2 linked regions of the Saccharomyces cerevisiae S288C genome follow. The protein of the gene in region 2 interacts with the protein of the main gene of each other region in a pairwise test. Each region holds a gene or a part of one and is shown on either strand. Other genes may lie near its edges. The genes, in order: VIK1 and YMR051C.

Region 1 (9,633 bases), on a different chromosome or scaffold from region 2:
CGTTTCTCCCACTGTAACATTAAAAATACGTCATGATAGCAATGATAATGTGTTAACTACTTAGGTATGTACATTATATAGATAACGGAATAAAAAAAGATACGTTCTTATTATCATCACTCAACACGAGCTGTAATTCCCGCCCATTTTTTCTTCATTATCAGGTTGCGATTTTGAACAAAAAAAGTGAAACTTGAAGTTACGATGTGACATAAATTTGTTAAAATAAAAAAGATAAAATTCAGGATAGAAGTAGGTGCAACGCGAAATTGTCTCTGTCTACTTGTGCCTTGAACATCGAACTTACAACAGATTAACAAAGTATCGTTGCTCTTTTCATTCGTCTGTTCGTTATCATCATTGGATAGGGCTTACTTTCTCGCACGTGATTTTTCCCACAGTATAAATTTTGAGCTATAAGTGGTAATAAAAATTCAATAAAAATATAGGGAAAACAAGCCCAGTAGTTTTGATTTCTTCTATCATGTCAGCTATACAATCGCCAGCACCTAAACCTCTGCAGCCAACTTATCCAGCTGCTTCGCCAGCTTCCACGAATGCATATATGAAGCCGGGCCTAATTGGTAGTCCTGCCGTCAGTAATCATACCGAGCCTAACAATGGTAACAATGAAACTGCGGAGCCTCAGGGACCAAATCAGAGAATTGATTTGGGTGCCATGATCGAAGAATTAACCTCACTATTGGGAAAAGAAAGCTGGACGAAATATGCTCAGATCATCAGTCTTTTCATTTTAGGGAAGTTATCCAGAAAGGAACTTTCTAATGAATTAGAGCTGGTATTTTCACCAAGCGCTGCAAGCTTAGAAAAATCAAATACAAATCATCACCATAGTTTAGTACGACTTCATAACCAACTTTTATTAGGGATTTTTGCTAATTCATTACGTGAAAACCCTCTTGGGAGAAACGGTAATGAGAGTTCTTGGGGATTTGGCAATGGAAGCAACAATCCAAACAATAAACTAAAAAGAATCAATAAGCATAACTCTCAAATTGAAGTCTATAAAAAAATTGTCATGTCGTTACCTCTAAATGATCGAAATAGACTTAAAATGATCACGAAAGAGGCCGGCAAAAGAGGCTTCATTTTTTGCTCTGTATTTCAAGCCAGATTAAATAATATACCCAAAATTCCCATTGTAACCAATCCAGAAAGTTTGAAGCGTGTCAAGAGCAATAATTTAAAAACGCCGCTGGAATGGTCACAAGATATAATGAATGGATTCAACGTTCCTTTAGCGAGCGAAAGCCATTCTTTACCAGACACGGATTCGTTTTACTTAAGAATGGTTGGTATAGCAAGAGAACATGGGTTAGTCGGCACAGTGGACGCACGTTGCGTAGAGCTTATATCATTGGCCCTAGATCAATATCTAAAAAATATAATAGAGTTTACTATTGATACAGTTCGTTATAGAAGGAAGAAATATTCAGATTATTATGATTTGAATGAGAGTGGGCTTTATAAATCCGTATCAGAAATGGCTGCTGATAAACGCGATGCCAAAATTAAGCAGTTAGATGATGATAAAAATGAGGATGAATGTGCCGATGAAGCCAAAAGTATTAATAACGGCAATAACAGTAGCAAGGACGATATTGGCGACATATCAATGAGCAGCATTACAAAGGCTGGCGAAGCAGTTAATGAGGAGTTACATGAAAACAGAACGATATCATTAACGAATGAAGACATATATGATTCGTTATCTATATTTCCGAATTTGGTTGAACCTTCAGGTTCATACTATGCGTTAACTAATTTAGGGCTAGTTAACGATGATGAACTAGTAGATATGAAGAGCAATATTGACGACTTGCCGGACTTCTTAAATGAAAAGCCGACTTTCACGCCTTTGGATGAAAGAAACGTTGGTACAAGGCATGAATTAAATTGGTTAATTAAAGGAATCTTAACGGAAGATTGATGTATAAAAAGTGTGTGTATGCGGTATGTTGTAATTATATTGAAAGATTATAAACCTTATTTGTTTCATATCTAAATGGCTGTGTTAAGAAAGACGATAATGTGACCGAGCTTAAGTGAGCTTTTTCTTTCTTTTACAAAGTTGTGTTTGAACTTCTTCTGAAATCGTTAATAATTTATTGACATTTTTTGAATCGTTCAAGTTTAGCAAGAAAAAGGATTTAGTATCAGAAATTAGTTTTTTCAGAACAAGTGCAATAGGGGTCTCGCATGATTCCTTCTTAAAGATGCTTTTATCAAACTGTTCAATGGACTTCAGATTATTTAACTCGATAAAATAAAAGTCCACCGGTACGGGGTCATTGTTGCCATCGCTTTTTGAATCTCGAGGAAAAAACTGCACCTTGATTATACCCATCCCAGAATGAGGTAAATTTGGGTGTTCATCACAACTAAAATTTAAGGGCAAATCTTCGAGTCCATTTTCTATGATGACAAGTTTGGAATCCAAAGAAATTGAGTGTTTTTCAAATTTCAACTTTATGCTATCTTTATCATTGTGGGAATAATCCAAGAGCATGTCCTGAGAAAATTCGTCATCTGATAAAAATACAAACTGTAAGGTGATCACATATTGTTTTTGATATATTGTATCCTTTTCGGCCAAAAATTTTATTAGAGACTCTCTCAATGAGCCATGTGGAGTGGTGCTTAGAGATATTAAGTTGAAATTTTTTTTTTGGTTCAGGCACATATCATGGTAAACGCTATACTCTTGAGTGAAAAATTTATCTTCAGAAACTTTTAAATGCGGTATCACCCTATTAAATTTGTAAACATGTTCGCTTAGACCTTGGGTTATTACGCCATTTTCGTAATCAAATAAAAGGTTCTCAGGCAAATTTTGCTCCATCACGTAAGCGTAACAGCGCATCGTGCCTTTTTGTTCAATAATAGAGTTTTCAAGTCTCCTACTCCGCAGGAGTTCTTTTTCCACAGTGTTATAGGTATCATTATAAAATTTTTCCTGTTTAGAGGCCATTTCTTTCAAATTTTCCATTTGGTTTTGTAAATGTTCCAAATCTTGCGAGTTTTGTAAGGATTTGCTTATTAGTGGGTTGTTTGCCAATTCCAATTGTTTTATATTTTCATTTATTTCTGAGATGTTTTGTTCCGAATATTCAGCTTGTCTATCTATATCCATGATCTCCTTGTGTAACTTCTCACTTTCCGATTGTAGAGTGGCTATCTGATCAAGTAATTCACGATGTTTGTTTGTCAAATTTTCCATGGATTTTAACTTAGCTTCTTTGAATGCAATAAAATCCTTCCTCAATTGTGATTCGTGGTTTACTTGTCTTTCCAAGTTTTGCTTCTGTAAATTCGCCCAATTTATGTTGAGCTCTTGCAGCGTTTTCTTCAACTGAGATATTTCCTCTGTGATTTCGTGGTCAGGCTCGACATTTTCCATTATTTGCAGCTCATTTTCCCAAAAGATAAGCTTATTATTGTACAATTCTTGAGATTCCTGCCTTTTCAAGATCAGATTCTGGTCGAGTTCAGCCTGCAAGGTTGCCAAAGCGGATTTGTTCTTCTTAATTAAATCAGCGCGTTCACCGTCCTTGGAGTTCAGATTTTGCGTCAAATCTCTAACCTGTTTGAGATACTTTGCTTGTTTGGATTTTTTCTTATAAAGTTCAAACCTGGACTTATTGAGATCTCGAAACTTGATGGTTTTGATTTCTCTTTCGCACTCAATCAATTGAGTCCTGAGAGTATGTCTTTGGAACCTTATTTTGTCTTGGCGGTCTTTTAAGTCCTTAATTTTGCTCATGTTGATGTTTAATGATGCAGATCGAGATACAGATGGGAAGGAATCCTTTACGGGTGGAAGAGCCAATGAACTCTTCATAGACGAAGGTCTAGAGCCATTCATGGTGTTTGTCGTGTTTGTGATATCCATAAGGTTTCGAGATTTTGATGAGGACACATTATCGGGATTGTGAAAGATTCTATTCTTTGAAAGAAAAGCGTGTTTGTTTTGCTGTGACGCCATAAAGTACACTGGTCAGGAAATGGTGCTTTTGCGAGGAGAATGTGTGTGTATGTGTGTGTTGTTAGGGCATTTCATATTCTATATTCATTGTTTTTTTGTTTTTTTTGTTTTTTCAGTTCTTTGTTTACCTATTTTTTCTTTGCCGCAATTGCAAATATTATTAACTTAATTGCGATTATTGAGACTAAACAATAAAGACCTGGCAGTGGAGGCATGACAGAGGATATCGCGAAACGATTGTTTAAGAGTATATTATAAAGTTGACTTGTTTCCTTATAATTATAATTATAAATATATATATATAGATTATTCACAGGAGAAATTGGGGGCACAAATGAGGGGTAAAAATGCAGACATTAACTAAAATCGTTGTTATTAACGTTTCTTGTCATCTGGGGCAGAGCGACTCTAATCCCATCGATATCTTTTGACATCTTAATCTGGCACCCAAGCCTGCTTGTCTCTGTTAGCCCGTAAGCAAGATCGAGCATATCGTTTTCATCATCTTCAGGTTCCGGCAGGGCATCGTAGTAGTCTGGATCAACGATGACGTGACAGGTGGAGCAGGCACAAGAACCGCCGCATGCGCCCTCCATGTCCAGGTTGTGACCTTGAGCGATGTCCAGGATGGTTTCGCCCTCACAGACTTCGTACGTCTTCTGGGAGCCATCCTTCAGAATAAAAGTTATCTTCAGTTCTTCGCCTGGTTTCGGTTTTTTCAAATGGCCATGGTTTAAGAACGAAGACGTAGAGAAGGGCAGAAATCTTGTGGTTGTGGTGGTGCGTGTGAGCAGAGATGGAGAGGTGCGTAAAAGATGTGCTGCGATGTTCGATATTCTAGCTGTGTGTCCAGCCCGAGTAACAATTTTCAGCATTGGGGGCGGGTTGAGTATAGATACGAGAAGCGCCTATTTCGTATGAGGTTTTTTTTTTCTATTATTATGTATATTAGGCATATATATACATATATATATTTTGCATACATATTCATTTTTAAAAAAATGCAACTGCTACACGCTTTGAAAGATTCAATGAAAAGTTTTTCCGACGACCAGAATTGGCTAGCAAAAAAACGAAAATGTAATGGAGTCATGCAAACATGACTAATAGTAACAAAAAAAAAAGATATAGTAGAATTGAGTAAGTAAGTTCTATGTATATTGTTGTTATTTTCTCTAAAAAAAAAAAAAAACTATGTAAAATTAGGAATTAAGAATATGCTTGGAAGGAATGCCGATTTAAAATGTGTAGGATATGCGATGCAAGGGGTCGTGAGAACAAGTAGAGATGTGGTAAAATGCGTCATACCGATGACAACCACAGTCTGTAGTTCTGTTGTGCGACATTGGCAAAGGCATCGTTACTTGCAAAGGCAAACCCAGAGGCAGAGTTAGATTCCTTACTAGCAGCAGCAACTGCACTGGCGGCGTTGCCGTTAAATTCCATATCGAACATGCAATCGTCTTCAGTACTCGTTATTATGTTGCTGTCCGTCTTATCTTTAGTGTGCGTGCATTCTGACTCATCGACAATCGGGTACGATAGCGGAAAAGTTAGCAATTCTTGCTGGTAAGATTGAGAAAAGTCATCGGCATAAGTCGATCTGTCCGGGCTATGCGAGAGCATAGGGGGCTCGAAAGCAACGTTTGAAAACGAAAGAGGGAAGACCTCGTCTTCATAGCGCGAGATGGGGGAAGATTCCACAGAGGACATTGTAAATAATTGTAATTGTATATTATTGTGTGTAAGTTTGGTTGGTTTGGTGTAGCCAATTTAGTTTGGTTTTCTCAAGAATAAAACAAGTAAGAAAGAAAGAGAGTTGCTCCAGACCCTTTCCGAAATCAAGATGAGTCCTGTTCTTATATATACCTTTTTACGCAGAGCCGCTTCTTTATGCACCGTGGAGTAATTACCGAATTGCAAAACCACCCGGGTGTGGATGTGGATGCAAAATAACAGTGAAATGAGTAATAACAATGGTCATAAACATGTGGTGTGCAATGTGTCATCTTCGCGCGCGTGCTAAAAAAAACGAATAACGGTGGTGATCCCGCGGCTTTCCACACTGACGGGGTCACGTGTGTTTATTCTGTTTTCTTCTAACGGCTTCTGTAGATTTCCGGACGGTTCCACGCAGCGCCACAGCTTGGTTCCAGATCGACGGAAGAGAACGTGCAACCCTTTGGGCTGGTTATGAAACAACGCAGATGGAGAATATGGCTCACAACCCCAAGGGACTTCTTGGTTTGGTTTTGTTTACAGTTTTTTGCTTGGCAAAGGTGCCATCGTTTGTCATGATAGCATGACGGTAGCAGGCATCATTGATTTTGCAACTGTTGCGGACCAGGACAGTGGGTATGGTGTAACTTCTGTAACACACCCACAAATGTGGTTGAGTCTCTAATGGAGATGAGTGAGTGGGCGAGCCAGGATAGGGTCTTTGGCATGTGCGGTGCTTACCCGGAAGGGAGATGCGCACGTGACTGTTGAAAAAGGGAAAAGCAGAGGTAATGAATGACGAAGTCGGTTCATTGCATGTGCTGTTACACTTCTTAAATAGATATCGATTAAGAATTACTATAATGATTTGTTACTTATTTTTTATTAACTAGCTTTGGGGGAGAGCCATGGAAAATAGCACTCGGTCTTGTGGCGGAGTTGGATTTGCTTGACTGTGGCCCCCTCACGCTGTTTAATGACGACGAGAGGCAGCAATGATGTTGTTCATTTCTTCGACCTTAGCCTTGGCTCTGGTGAAAGAACCCAATCTCTTCTTGGCGACCTTTCTGGCTCTCTTTTCACCGGAGTTTCTGATCAAATCGATCAATCTTCTTTCATATGGGGACAAACCGGCGATTTCTCTAACCAAAGATCTGACGAACTTGGTTCTGTTGGAGGCAGCACCCTTCTTGTAGGAGATCTTTGGGGCTGGAGTCATTTGGGTGACTTTCTTACCCTTGTTCAAACCAATAGCGATACCTAGAGGAAAAAAATAGAATATCTTATGTTAGTAACAAGCACACTAGTACTCACGTAGTATACGAGCAAAATAAATAAACAAAGACTCCACGGAGTACTGCAACGCTGGGTGCAGGATATAAACGATGTTTGCATATCTCTGGAGCTTAATCTCATCCTGTTTGTATTTCTGTTGTTGGCTTAGTGGTTCAGTTCATTTTGCTTTTGCTCTACAGTTCATTAGTTCAGGTAAACATACCAGTCTTGACAGCCATTTTGTATTATCCTTGCTTCTCTATTCTGTTTTGACTATGGTAATACACGAACTTAAGACTTAACGCTAATTAAAACGAATATTCAAGAAATGCAATGATGTGCCTCTTCCTCTGCCTCTCTCTCTCTCTCTCTCCTAGTGCATTCATGCTAGCTTCCCTCGTCGGGCTTCCCTGAACAGCCTTGGTTGGCAACCCAATGAAAAAGTTCCGCGCACGCGGTATGTGCGTCTTTCGCAACCAGACCTCTCGGTCATGGTCGTCTCCCGCACGGTAAAGCGGAAACAAAAACCCAACACATCCGTGGATGTACGGGTGAAAATACAGTCAAAAAAAAAACAACAACAACAACATTGTCTAAACGAGTCGTGATGCATTTTTTAACACAAATTGGAGAGGCACACAATGTGCACACAGCGCAAAACTATACATCTATTTAAAAACTTTTTTAAAACCAGTCCAGCCTTTCCTCCCTTTAGCCTTAGAATCTCGTTCCAATAACGATGCCGTGGACACTTGCTCCTTATTGATGTTAATCAACTCATCGATTTCCGCTTGCAGTTCAGTGATTCTTTCCTCTAATTGGCCGTTCTCCCTCATCACCTCATTGTTCCTGGATATGGTCCTTTCCAAGTCTTCTCTCAGATCTGCCTTTGGTAGTGACGCGTCCGGGTTCGGTAAATTTTGCTTGCGAATCTCTTCCTCAATTTGGCTTTTGATATCAGTGATTGTATTTATCAGGTCGTTTTTTTCATCCAACAGCATCTCCATATTCAATCTGTTCTGAATCAGCTCGTTAGCGGCGCTGATATTCTCTTTGTTCAAAATTGAATAGTCGTGTTCTAGCTTCTGCGCCTCTCTTTGTAGTTGGTGGTTTTGAATTCTTAGTGATTCGTAGTGGTCCTCTTTTTTTTGCTCTTTTTCATGGATTTCTACGTACTCTCCCCTGTATCTTCTTAATGTTAATGGTGTGATATATACACCTGTCATTGCATCATGAACGAAAAGATCGACATTGTAGGAAAAAGTGCCGTCATCATTGCCCTTAAATGAGTTCCCATTTGACAATCCCATTTGCACTACAGAAGCGTCATCCTGGTTTCCCATTAAATAGTAATTGAAGAGTTCGTCCTTTAAAAAATCCAATAGTTCATCGAATCTCAATTTTACTAAAGTTTCTTCATTCTTTAACATTAAATTTACAGCAAACTTCAAAAGCACTTCAATACCCTCTACGAATACAATATCAAAAATTCTTAACACAAACTCTAACGGAAACTTGTATGCGAAAAATGTCAAAAACCATTGTGTAGCGTACATTGTGGAGCTAATTCCCTCACGGATCAAGCGATTGTACAAAGAAGGTGAATGCTCCTCTAATAATCTATCAAATTGATAAAGCATTAACATCAGCCCAGGCATTCCTGGTAAGAAAAGCTCTCTTAATCCATAATTCTTCATTAATCCAACGAGTAGTCCAAAAGATTCGGCCTCGTTTTCACAGTTTATTAATAGCGGCGCTGCAATGAACCCCATGCCTTGCGTGTACCCAACATCTGGATCATAAACAGAATACACCTTTATTACCTTGTATAGTGACTCCATTTTGTCCTCGGCCACAAACTTCGTTCTCCTTAAATCTCTACGTATTGTTGCTTCATGAAGACATTCGGTATCCAATAGAGTTTCATATATATCTTCCATTTCTCTTGATTTGGAATTCGCCATCAGCTGCCAAATGATACCTCGAATTTGTGGTGGTATCCCATTGGTAACATGGGCTTCTAAATTTTCTGGTTCGTTGCTTGCCACTGTAGCATAATCATTAACTACTTGAGTCCAGAAGGACCAATCAATTTTAAACATTTCTCTATCTTCTTCATTAACATTCTCCACTTCGTTATACTCGGACAAGTTCTCCAGAAATGACGTAAATGTCGATTTTAAAAAGCTTTGACCTTCCTGCAACGACTCTCTAGTTTCTTCCCCCTCTTTATTCAAATGGTGACTGGTCTTGCGGTAACGACTAGCGATCAAATTAATTTCTGCAGTGGACTCTAATTGCGCAGTTTTGGAACCAGTGAGAGGAACATGATGATAACTATTTCTTTTAGTTTCTTCGAAGTTTTTACGGAACTTCTCTGACTTCATTTCTTCCTCTAGTGGCGGTGGAACAGCATTCTTCGTCTTCGGTGGTTGTTCCCTTTGTTTGCCCCTTGGAGGTAATTTTGGTGACGTTGATGTCGCAACATTTTGTCTAGGTGGTAATGGTGGCGAAGATGTAGTGGGAATTGCGGAAACCTCGTTCTCGCTTGAGTTATCACCTTTTTCATTTATGATTTGTGTGGGTATAGGTGGTACTTTCCTAGCAGTTTCTGAGGAAAGATTCTCTGCTGT
Region 2 (12,507 bases):
TCAATATCGTAGCCGAATATTGGTGGTACTATTAAATGAATGTTTTCACCAACAGCAACGGCGAGAATACCATTATTAGCATCAGGATTCCATTCAATGCATTCAATGTGGTAATCTGGGTTTTCCTCGTCATCGATTAAAGTAGTTCTATAAACTTCTCTACCAGTTAAAATTTCCCATACCCTGACTGTTCCGTCATCAGATCCTGTTGCTAGCCATAATCCAGAAGGATCAATGGATAATGTGCGTACTTTTCCTTTGTGACCAGCGTATATTGTTGAGCAACGAATAGGGAAGGGTCTTAAATCCTTGGGAGAGGGAAGTTCTGGAATTAGAGAATTAGGATCAATATTCAATTTGTTTTTACGGACACGAGGAGCTAAATATAAATCCAAAGATCTTTCAAATCTTTCCCTAATAGATTCACCGTAACCAGGGACCTTTCTTAAGGCAGAATACTTTTGAGGTATGAAGTTTCTTTCTCTTTCACTATATTCAGTATTTTCCCAGGCCTCCTTTTCTTCAGGAGACAAAAGATACTCTTCTGGTGGATTATAACTCTCTTCATTAGTTGGTGGAGGTAATTTTGGTGCCCTTAGATGCATTACATGATCATTTGTTTCCGTAGAATCACCCCATAAATCGTATTGATAGTTTTCAATTTTTTCCTTTTCTTTCATTTCCTTTAATTTTTTAGGAGGAATAATACGGCCCTCTCTGATAGCTCTTACAATTTTCATAACTCTCTTGGCTTCGTTTTTGGATGGAACAAATCTTCTTTTTGGCTCCGGAACAGCAGTTAATGGCATCACTTCTTCGTGTCTCGTGAACCAATCGATTAACGGTTCGTATGGATTTATGCTATCATCAGTTTGTTCGTTCCTTTGGATTTTGGAAATAAGTTCTAATTCCTCTTTGGTTAAGTTCAAACTTGAACCGGAATTCTTGTCCAGTAAACCAGTCCAGCCTTCAGGTAGCTCGATAGAATCCAACAGTTGATCTAAAGCAGAACCCTTGGCAGGTCTCATAATCCTTTTACCGTTGATATCGTATCCAATGTGTGGCATTTCATCGTATGCAGAAAGTGGAATATTACCAATGGTATTTTGCGTTTCGGCATCACTATCATCGCTATCATAAACTGGATTAATTTCAGGTTTGATAATTCTATCACTGCCATCTGCATATTTTGAGTAAATATTCGGATCAACGATCGTTTGCAATTTCACACCCGATAATCTGTCTGTTAAGGAAGTTGTGTCGTCTGAAAACTCAGAACTGTCATAGTCCTCTTCCCCATCACCTTCTTCTTCGGCAAGCAGTTTGTTTAATTCAGCATCGGAGTCATCATCAGAATCATCTTGGGCTTCTTTATCAGAAGATGATTCCTTTTCTTCAACGGCAGACTCGTATTCGTCATCATCCTCGTCACTCTCACTTGCTTCCGCATCGATCAAACCGTCAACGGATAAAAGCTTGTCCTCATCTTCCTCGACATCAGATTCTTCGCTAGCTGCTCTCTTTTTCGACATCTTTGCCTCGGTAGTTTTGTTGTTCTTAGCCATCATTGACCTAGTTATGTTAGAACAGATTTAATACAGTACCTTTCTTCGCTAGGATCTATATGCGAATATATCACATATGTAAATTATAAGCTCATCGCAAAACCAAAAAAAAAAAAATTTTCAATAATTTTTCACTAATCTTCAAAAACAAATGGGGTAACCCGTACAAGAGTTATTAAAACCCAAAATGACAAAATCGCGACAATTCAATCCTACTTAATTAGCAATAACATACTAGCGGTAGAGCTACTATCACATGTTGAACCTTGAATGCTCAATTCATTGTACTCAATACTGCTATCAAAAGAAAAAAAATGTATTAATTATATTCTTGTCAAAATCAATTTTACACTATAAGAGGAAAATGTTCTTCAGTCCTAGTAACATTAGTTTTCTCCCTTTGCTAGAGACTTTACATAATATCCTAGAAGGTAAAATTCGATAATACAGCAGTAAAGTCGTATATTGGTAGCAATCCTTGGTGACGCTGACTTTTTTTTTTTGTAATTTTATTGTTTAGTTCATGATAAAAAACTTCAAATCACTTTTAATCTGGTAGACAGAGAAAACAAATCGAAACGAAAATAGAGAACTACGAATAAAAAAATATAAGTGGAGAAGATCGTCACTACGCATTAAACAATATTGATCGCTCAATGCCAGTACTGCGCGTAAAAGTTTAGTAACTTAACGATTTAGGCACAATTTGAGAAAAATTTCGCCCTGCAGTAAGTATGTTATTCAGTACGATATAAAGCTGAGGTTTTATGCTGGCAACGTTCAGATTTTTTAGGTTATCAGCAATGTTAAAATATTAAATAGGATACTTTTATTGTTTGAGACCACCCTCAATGCCAGATATGTTAAACGCTTTTTTCTGGAGTGAGGTATCATAGAAAAAGGCTCGAGTACATCAAGCACTTAAAGGTTCAACACTCTACTGTTACTTCTTTAAGCTAAGCTATTCATACATAATAGTCCATCAAAGTGGCTCAAATTGCGCATACAGTGTAAAAATGCGTTCAGGGAATAACGATGTCAAGCAGCGTGTGAAAATTGGACACGTTGAATAATAAACTTCCTGGAAACCGTCGCGCGCCACTGCTGTCAGAAAATAGTAGACTACTTAATTTTCAATTCATATTTAGCCTGCTTTTTGATCTATGAAATCGCCCACTCTAAATCAGCGGTGTTTTTGCACGGTTTGTAATTTTAACTTCATTATATGTATTATTCGGTGACTTCACTAAAAAAGAAGGATCTATGCAATATTCTTATCTTCTATTTTTTTTCTTTTCGATTTTTGAAGTTAAACCTTCGTAATGAACAGATTCGAACAGTATACAGCTGATGACAATTACATGTTAAACTTTCATTGATGATAATGGCACGCACTCCACCTGTTAAAGAGGCAGAACGAAGAACCTTTGCTTATAACATAGGTCAGTGTATACTGGATAATAGTATCGAATAACCAGCATAATATTTTCTCTGGAAATACCTTTAAGGGGTTTTTAGAAGAAAAACAAATCCTAGTGCAACTTGCAAGTCATCAAAAATAATCTATCTTATCTCTATATATATATTTGTGTATTTTATATTTTATGACAAAGCTAGAAATATAAAATCAGATACCGCAATAGAAGATATTTCAAATAATAATACCAATCTCATAGCTCAAAACAGGCACTAAGGGAATACTGAAGAAAGTAATGTCTAGGAGTTAGTATAGCTTGAAGTTGCCATCGGTGTCATTTAGGTAGATCTATCTAGATTACGCGCAGCCCTCAGAAAAGCAAGTGATTTCCGAAGTTTCAACCTACCCAGACTATTCACATAAGGTTAATTTATGATTGAACAGTTCAAATAAATCTGCGCCATTCATGAAGATGATTCGATACCGCAATATGCTGCTAAAGTGCTAAAAAAATGATTTCGCCCAGGATCGAACTGGGGACGTTCTGCGTGTTAAGCAGATGCCATAACCGACTAGACCACGAAACCAGGTTTTATTGAAAAATTGCATCTAAAATAACCTATACTAATAAATCTTCTAATAAATCTTCTAACTCTTCGCTGTTCTATGTGATATCGTTGATAGTTAGGTTTTCGTGTTGAAATAATCAATTACATTTATTGACTGGTTTAATATTAATATATTATCATATACAGTGTAAGAAGGTGAGATATATGTGGGTAATTAGATAATTGTTGGGATTCCATTGTTGATAAAGGCTATAATATTAGGTATACAGAATATACTAGAAGTTCTCCTCGAGGATATAGGAATCCTCAAAATGGAATCTATATTTCTACATACTAATATTACGATTATTCCTCATTCCGTTTTATATGTTTATATTCATTGATCCTATTACATTATCAATCCTTGCGTTTCAGCTTCCTCTAACATCGATGACAGCTTCTCATAACTTATGTCATCATCTTAACACCGTATATGATAATATATTGATAATATAACTATTAGTTGATAGACGATAGTGGATTTTTATTCCAACATACCACCCATAATGTAATAGATCTAATGAATCCATTTGTTTGTTAATAGTTTGAATGTTTTTATCGGAAGAGGTTTGGTCATTACGTCTGCAATATTCTTTTTGGTTTCGATATAGCATACGTGCAGATGATTTCCTGATACTTCATCTCTTAGTCTCATTGCTTTAGTACCAAAAAATCTGTTTCTAAATTTCTCTTCATTATTGGATATAATTATACTGATTGTAGATTTACTGTCGGTTAGTAATCCTTTAGTAATTGGTTTCTTGTTAAGTTCTTGCACAAGGTGACTGAGGTTATTTAATAATGGGACAGATTCACTTATCGCGTGTATTTCTGCTTCCGTAGTTGAAGTACATGTTAATGAAGCCTTGGTGGACTTTCCTCCAATTACTTTTCCATTAAGTAAATATATGTTGCCAATTTGTGATTTATAATACGGTTGGTTACCATACGATGCATCGCTTATAACAACTAATTTATTTGTTGGCTTAACAGGTTTGCTTTTGTGCCATATTAATTGCTTATCTCTCGTATTCCATATGAACTGTATCAATTCATATGTCATATCTAACACTTGCTTGGACGGAAATAGTATATGTTGTGCAAGTGTGTTGATGTAGTATAATAGGTCAAATCTAAATTTATATCCAACATATGATGCTAGACCTATCAGCTTTTGCATTTCATGTACCTTCATTTTGTAATCATCTTCTTCTAGCTCTAGTTCTTGCTGGTCTATATATAGACCTGGTTGACCTGGAGCGCTAAGTTTCCTTCCTTTTGGGTTCAAAGGTACGTTTAGTTTGGGTATTTTTTCAGTTAATGAGTTTTCCATACCTAATTTCATGTATTTACCTCTTTGATATTTGATTTCTAAGCCAAGTATGTCGTACTGAATTTCGTTATCACTTTCACCCAGATTTATTATCTTTGTATCGTATTGTTTCTTGAGTGTTGTTATGATTTTCTTATTTGCATTTAAGTCTTTGCTGAACAATATCATATCATCAACGAATAAGCAAATTGTTACTTGACTATTCTTAAATACGCATGACCATCCACGAACTTCTTCCATACCACACTGTTTTATCAGGTATGATTTGATAGTTTCGTACCAGTTCGCTCCACTTTGTTTCAATCCATAAAGTGATTTCTTCAAACGTATTAACTTATCATTCATTCCTAAATGTGGTGGAGGTCTTATGTATAGTTCTTCTTTGATGTCTGCATACAAATATGCCGAAGATATGTCTAATTGTGTAATATAGTAGTTATTGTCTAATGCAAGTGACAGGGATGTCATTAATGCATAGTGATGTACGGTATTGGATTGCATGCCTGGGTCGTAAGTGTCAGGATGTTGAATATCACCTCTTGCAACAAATCTAGCTTTATGAGTACCGTCACGTTTCCTGTTAAAGATAAACATTGAATTTATTACTCTTTTGGGGTCTATTTCTTTTCTGTCATAATATCTGTCAGTGTCCCAAGTTTTCATCTTCAACAGTTGATTGACTTCTTTGTGGTATGCCTGGATATATTTTTCTTTTTCTTTAATATCTTTATTATAGGTGATTGCCTCATCGTATCGTAAGGTTGTCCGTATTGGTTTGATTGATTTTACTGCTTTTACAGCTGCAATCAGGTGAATTCGTTTCTTCGATCTCGGAGGTTCTAAACTACGCATATTCTTAGTATTCCATGTGTCTCGTGATACCTTAATTTCAGTTTCATTATCTTCTAATGATCTTTTCTTACTGTTGATAGTAGTATAGGCATTAGAGTCACCAATACCACCCAAACTGGAATTAGTTTGACGAGAATTGATCGGTGGGAGTTCTTTAAATGGGTCAGGGAATTCGGTAGGAGATTCTGGAGGTAGATCAGGGAGTGGGAGATCAGCGATGATAGATTCCTCGGTATTCTGTTCAGAAACAGTAGTTGGCGTTTTGATAGGAACAATATTGTGCGATGAATTATTTTCCGGTGGAGAAGCATCGATTGAAGGTGAACGGTGTATAATCCTTTTCTCAGTCTCTTGGTCACTTATCTGCGGAACAGTTTTGTTGTTGGTACCACCCGTACTGGATATTGGTACGTTTGTATGATTAGTCTCATTTTCACTGTACGAGTCTGAGTGTCTGAAATCTTTAGATTTACTGGCGTGCGACGACTCATGTGTGTTAGATTGGGACATGGGAGCAAGTAAAGGAACATTTAATTTATGCATACCACCCGAACCGGTACTCTCGATATTGGAAATTTGGGGGGTGCTAGATCTCTTCTTTGATGGAAGAATATTAGATTCAGATATGTTGGGGTCAACTTCTCTGGGTGCGCGAATATTGGTTTTAGAAACACGTTTCGAATCTTCAGTATGAGTTGACGGAGGTGTGGAATCGGTTGGACTCACAGCTTTTGAAAGGACATTTCTCGGTTGCTCAGGATGTAGTTCGATGTCAGATTGGAAGTCATGGTCAGATTCTATGTTAAGATCATCGGATTGTTGGATCTCATTTGACGCAATGAACGATTGATATGAAGCAGTTAAACGGTTTAAGTCTTCATCGAAAGTGAGTGCGTCGTAATTGAATTGATCTAATCTGGATTCCTTGCCCTGAAGAATAACATAGTTAGTTGTATCTACTGTCTTCTTTAAGGATGGAAGATAGATGATATATCCATAAGAGTTTCGAGACGGATGTAGAGCGTAGCCTGGGATGCCACGAGGATGTATTTTGGAGTTAGGGTTGTGATCATTGACGATAACAGGTTGACCGAAAGGTAACAAAGTACTGATATCAAGTCCTGCCAAGCCAGCATGTTGTCTTGCAGATTTTTTGCTTTTAGGTGAAGCTAGTGAATTTCTCACAATAGTAGAAAATTCGATTGCAGAGAACCATAAATGGTTCGGTAAACCACTACATTGCAGTTGAGTACGGCAGTCATCTAATAAGGTACGGTTGAGCCGTTCAGCGACTCCATGTGCTCGGGAATCCGCTGTGGTTGTATAGCATGGAGTTATACCATTTTTTTCAAGGAATTTATGGAGAGTTCTGTTAGTATACTCAGAACCACGGTCCATTTGTATAACCAAGACACTGGCCTGAAACTGGTTCTTAATAAAAGCTAGTATCGTAGTAAAAACATCGAGGATAGAGTCCTCGCGACGGTCGTGTAATGGATAAACCCAACGGAATTTTGTTGTCTCATCAGTAAATGAGATGAAATAGGATGGTGCACTTTTTGGTAGGTTGTGAACTGGACCAAATATGTCAGTATGTAGGTATTGAAAGGGTTCGTATGAATTTTGGTATTTTAGTCGTGAACCTTTGATATGTCTGTGTTTGGTGCTTTTGCCGATTAAACAATCAGGACATTGATAGTCAATAGCACTAGACCAGTCGACATCTGATTCGTTAAAATACGTGATGGTGTTATTTTTAAGTGAGTATCGAATTGTCTGTGCATTGGCATGCGCAAGCATTCGATGAATGAAAGGATAAGGATATTTGCGTGTACTTTCACTTGTATGGACATTATTGATGGTGGGTACGGAGATATTTGATGGAAGCAAGTACTTTTTAGATACCCAGTAAAAGTCTCCATATTTTACGATAGGTGCAAGTACAGTGCCGTCAGACCGTTCTAAGACGTTTTTGGTAAAGCATGCTGTGATATCTACTGCAGCCAATTCATTCAAACTGAGTAAGTCATAGGCTATGTTAGGAGTGTGCAATACCTTTATTGATGTTTTGGTGTTGTCCTGGAAGTGAAATTGTAGGTCACCAATAGCGTTAATTGGTATATTTCTTTTTTGAGCATCAACTACGTTTATGTCAGGATTAGATGATGCTGAGTGTATGTGATGAGCAGATCTTATAAGGGTTCGTGATGCTCCTGAATCGAGAAGGAGGTGTCCAGGGAGTTCATCATCAGAATGATTAGTATGATTTACTGTAGATTCAGTAAGTTTCTGGCCTAAGATGAAGGTCGTGCTTATTGTTCAATTGAATCGGTTCAGTAGTTGATTTACTGATGGAATCGTTGTCCGTGCTGGGAGAGTTATTAGATGTGGATACATTGTGAGCCCTGGCTGTTTTCGATTTCGAATTATTTGTTTTTTGAGGATTCCGAGCTATAACTTTGGGTTTGGTTGTATTCGTATAGCTGCGAGAATCATTCTTCTCATCACTCGGATTTCTCCTGTAATTAGGTTTGCTGTTTCTCGATCCCTGTTGTTCTTCATAAATAGCATGGATATCTAAGAACAGTTCAGCGACTGTCATATTTAGATGTCGATGACGTGTGTAGCGTAAAAATTTATATTCGCCAGATAGACCTCTCATAATTAATTGGCATGCGACCTTGTTATTGATATGAATGCCATTATTGTTCAGTCTGTCGATAATGTTTGTGACTTTTGTTTCAAATGCATCTGCAGGTGTACTGCCATTATATTGCAAATTTGCCAGGGTCACAATGTCGTTTGCCTCTTGGGTATCAGATTGCATTTTTTCAATACTTTTGGAAAGAATTTTCATGATATCCGTATAATCAACGGATAGGATGTCTTTGACCCAGGTAGGTAGGAATTGAGAGGGAGCAAATATTTGAAAAGTGTTATACAAGAAGGTGAGTTCATCATCAGTGATCTGACGTACGGGTTTTCCGTTTACTGTCGGAATAATACCACCGAGATTCGAGTTTTGTAAAAATTTGATGTATGTTTTAACCCAATTTGGAAAATCATTAGGTGAGGTTAACATTGGTGGTGGTCTGACATATTTTTTAGTGGATGTCATATCAGAGTCCGCTGAGGATGAATCAGTAAATGTATTACCTGACTCAGGTGATGGAGTGCTCAGAGGCGTTCCAACTGATGATGGATACTGCGGAAACTGTGATTGTGGCCCAGGTGGAAAGTACATAGGCGACATTTGATAAGGTGTATACGGAATCATAGATGGGTGTCCGTAAAATGACCAACCAGATGGATTGGCTTGGTTTTGGGTCATCATGCACTGCTGTGGGTACGGCCCATTCTGTGGAGGTGGTACTGAAGCAGGTTGAGGAGAGGCATGATGGGGGTTCTCTGGAACAGCTGATGAAGCAGGTGTTGTTGTCTGTTGAGAGTTAGCCTTAGTGGAAGCCTTATCATATTCTTGAATTTTGGAAGCTGAAACGTCTAACGGATCTTGATTTGTGTGGACTTCCTTAGAAGTAACCGAAGCACAGGCGCTACCATGAGATATATGTGGGTAATTAGATAATTGTTGGGATTCCATTGTTGATAAAGGCTATAATATTAGGTATACAGAATATACTAGAAGTTCTCCTCGAGGATATAGGAATCCTCAAAATGGAATCTATATTTCTACATACTAATATTACGATTATTCCTCATTCCGTTTTATATGTTTATATTCATTGATCCTATTACATTATCAATCCTTGCGTTTCAGCTTCCTCTAACATCGATGACAGCTTCTCATAACTTATGTCATCATCTTAACACCGTATATGATAATATATTGATAATATAACTATTAGTTGATAGACGATAGTGGATTTTTATTCCAACAGAAGGTGATCTAAAGATTGAGAAACAGTCACCAGATTTAGGGGAAGCTGAAATGCAATGATTGATAATGTAATAAGAAGCGAGAGGGAAAGTATAAAAAGGAAGTGATCAATTTGTGAATAATTTGATAACCGTTGGGATTCTATTGTTCGCAAGGGCTTTATTTTATTATGTGTACAGAATATAATAAAATTTCCCCTGAGAGATATACCAATCCTCAAATTGGAATCGATACTCCTATATAATACAATTACAATTATTTCTCCCTCCCTTTCGTATGTTTCATTATCCTAGTACATTATCAATCCTTATATTTCTGCTTCCATTAAATTTTACGACTGTTTCTCAATGTTTAGATCATCTTCTTACACTGTATATGATAATGTACGAGTGGCATGAATACTACTGAACAGATGATATTTTATAGCTTCATTCCAACAGAAAGAACATAAAGTAATATCGTTACGTAAAACTATCGATTCCCTTTTGACGATTCCTACATCCTCGAGAAGAAGTTCTAGTATATTCTGTGTACCTAATATTGTAGGCTCTAACAACAATGGAATCCCAACAATTAATCATCTTGATTATTTTATTCCCCGCGTTTTAGAGCATCAATCTTGCCAGCTTATAGCTGGTCATTGTCGACGATAATCTCAAGCACAGGGCTAAAAAATAAATTGAAACGGACAGGAATTGAACCTGCAACCCTTCGATTGCAATCTTATTCCGTGGAATTTCCAAGATTTAATTGGAGTCGAAAGCTCTACCATTGAGCCACCGCTTCAACTTTTATTGTTTATATTGACACCTGTATAACAATATAACCACAATAAAAGGTTCATTCAAAGCTCCGGCTAGCATTCGGCGATTAATGAAGAAAGTTAAACCGTGATTTATTACTTCTTGCTCGTTTTTTCCATCATAAGTTCGCACAGAGCAGTATATATAGTGATTTGCAAATATGAATAGCGGTGGTAGTGATAGTTTCGATTATCTTCTTCAATTAACAAAAGCTTTAAGTGCAGAGTGTCGGGCTAACAGACAAGAGACCGATCGAATAGAACTATTGTTAAAGCGCCTTGCCAAACAGTCAGGAATATCTTATGATAATTTGAGCAAAAACATAATTCCAGATTCATGGAAAGATAATGCATCTCAAAAAGCATCTCCCCCCACTGAGGCACAGAAGCTTATCAGCGAAAATTTTAAACTCATATACGAGATTGAAAAACAAGAGTACTTCAATACAAAGGCTGTTGCGCTAATTAACAACATAAATGAGCATTTCTCATATATTAAAAATTTTATCGACGAACAGAATGCAATAAGAGAACGAAATATTGCCACATTTTCATCAGAGAAGCTTGATGAAAGGAACAAAAGTCTTCAACAAAATTACGAGTCATTGAAGACAGAAAATGAAGAAACAAAAAAAAAATTGCATTCAATTATCAAACAGTTTGAAAAACTTTTGAAGGAAGTGGATTGGGATCGTATATCTAAAGATTCCAGAGATTACAGCCGCTTTAAAAAACAGTTGGAATACCTGCAAGACACGTACCAGGTACTGAAATAGCCTACGATGGATCGAACAAAAGTGTAAGCAGACGTGAAATAGCAAACCTTTGAATGCATTTATATATTTTAATATACTTATAACAACGGATAAATGTTTAGATCCCTTTTGAAAAAAAAAAAAAATTAGGATGAACCGAAAAAAATCATACTCGTATTCCTCTATCGTCTTCACTGGCATTATTGTGTAAAGAATTATTACCAAATAACCACCTGAACCACCCCACAGTATCATTCTTTAAATCTTTAAAATAACGGCGGCTCAGCATCTTTAAACAAAGAGCTTCATAGGTGGGGTTGTTAGTGGTCATCAAATCATTTACGCATCTATCATATTCGTCTTTATCACTCTTGGGATCTATTGCAGAGCATATTCCAGTTTTACCCTGTCCCTGAAGAGAGCTTTTCAACCCAATTAATTTGGAATCAAACTGAGCAACACTACTTTCAATATCTCGTACACGAACTTCCAATATCCTCATATCATATTTCAACCTAGATGATAAGGAATTTAACTCTTGCATCTCATGGAGAAGAAGTTGTTGCTTATTGTCAATGTCTTCAAATCTCCCTTCAAACACTTTTGCACCATCTGAATACTTCTTATATAGTTCTTGCAGTCTTTTATATCTTTCGTTGAATTTAGAGTACTGACCAACAGTTCCCTCCTTATTTAATTTACCCATATAATGCTCATCCATTTCTTGTATGTGTTGCTGCGCTTGGATGTCGTATTTCATTCGTAACAAATCTCTAGCTATTCGAACAACAGATGGATCAAATGGTAAATCCCATTTTTCCACAATATTCTGTACAGCAGAAGAAGAGTTGCATCTATACAAACGAGATGACTTTTCCTTCAGCTCTGAAAGATCTTCATAAATGTTGTCGTGTGTGCGATCTTTACAATAGGGAAACGAATTTCTTCGGTAGTATTCTCCTTGATATAATTTGTTGATGCCAAAATTATATGCATATTTGGTATTATCGTAGTTTGGAAACATTGATGACACTGTTGCAGATGAGGGCATAGCATTGGTCCTCCCTATGTCTTCAGATGTATCAAGACTGGAAGAACTAACCTTTTTGGAGGCGTGCTTTTGAGCGTATGCGATTCTTTCCAAACGAAATTTTTCTAGTAGCATTTCCCTTTCTCTTATCTGCCCATCAGGATCGCCTCTCTGGTAGTTAAATTTCAAAAATTCTTCATTAGAAATATCCGTACAGCATTTCCTTGGGTGTCCCTTACCTTTCCAT

Evidence for each region.
Region 1: the proteins of YMR051C (region 2) and VIK1 interact in a two-hybrid assay, tested with the Saccharomyces cerevisiae proteins (one large-scale study listed by BioGRID).

The regions. Positions count from the first base shown.
Region 1 is NC_001148.4:69,001-78,633, forward strand, and holds VIK1 (Vik1p), read right to left. Parts: upstream 4,007-9,633; coding exon 2,063-4,006; downstream 1-2,062. Other genes in the region: HFI1 (Hfi1p), read left to right, coding at 485-1,951; YAH1 (adrenodoxin), read right to left, coding at 4,363-4,881; ATG41 (Atg41p), read right to left, coding at 5,309-5,719; 60S ribosomal protein eL36 RPL36B, read right to left, coding at 6,699-6,985, 7,224-7,239; GTPase-activating protein GYP5, read right to left, coding at 7,669-9,633. UniProt on the Saccharomyces cerevisiae protein: Together with the minus end-directed microtubule motor KAR3, plays a role in microtubule organization. Recruits KAR3 to microtubules, and together they may stabilize the polymers. The KAR3-VIK1 heterodimer cross-links anti-parallel microtubules.
Region 2 is NC_001145.3:368,950-381,456, forward strand, and holds YMR051C (gag protein), read right to left. Parts: upstream 9,377-12,507; coding exon 8,054-9,376; downstream 1-8,053. Other genes in the region: ribosome biogenesis protein ERB1, read right to left, coding at 1-1,568; FAR3 (Far3p), read left to right, coding at 10,637-11,251; STB2 (Stb2p), read right to left, coding at 11,397-12,507.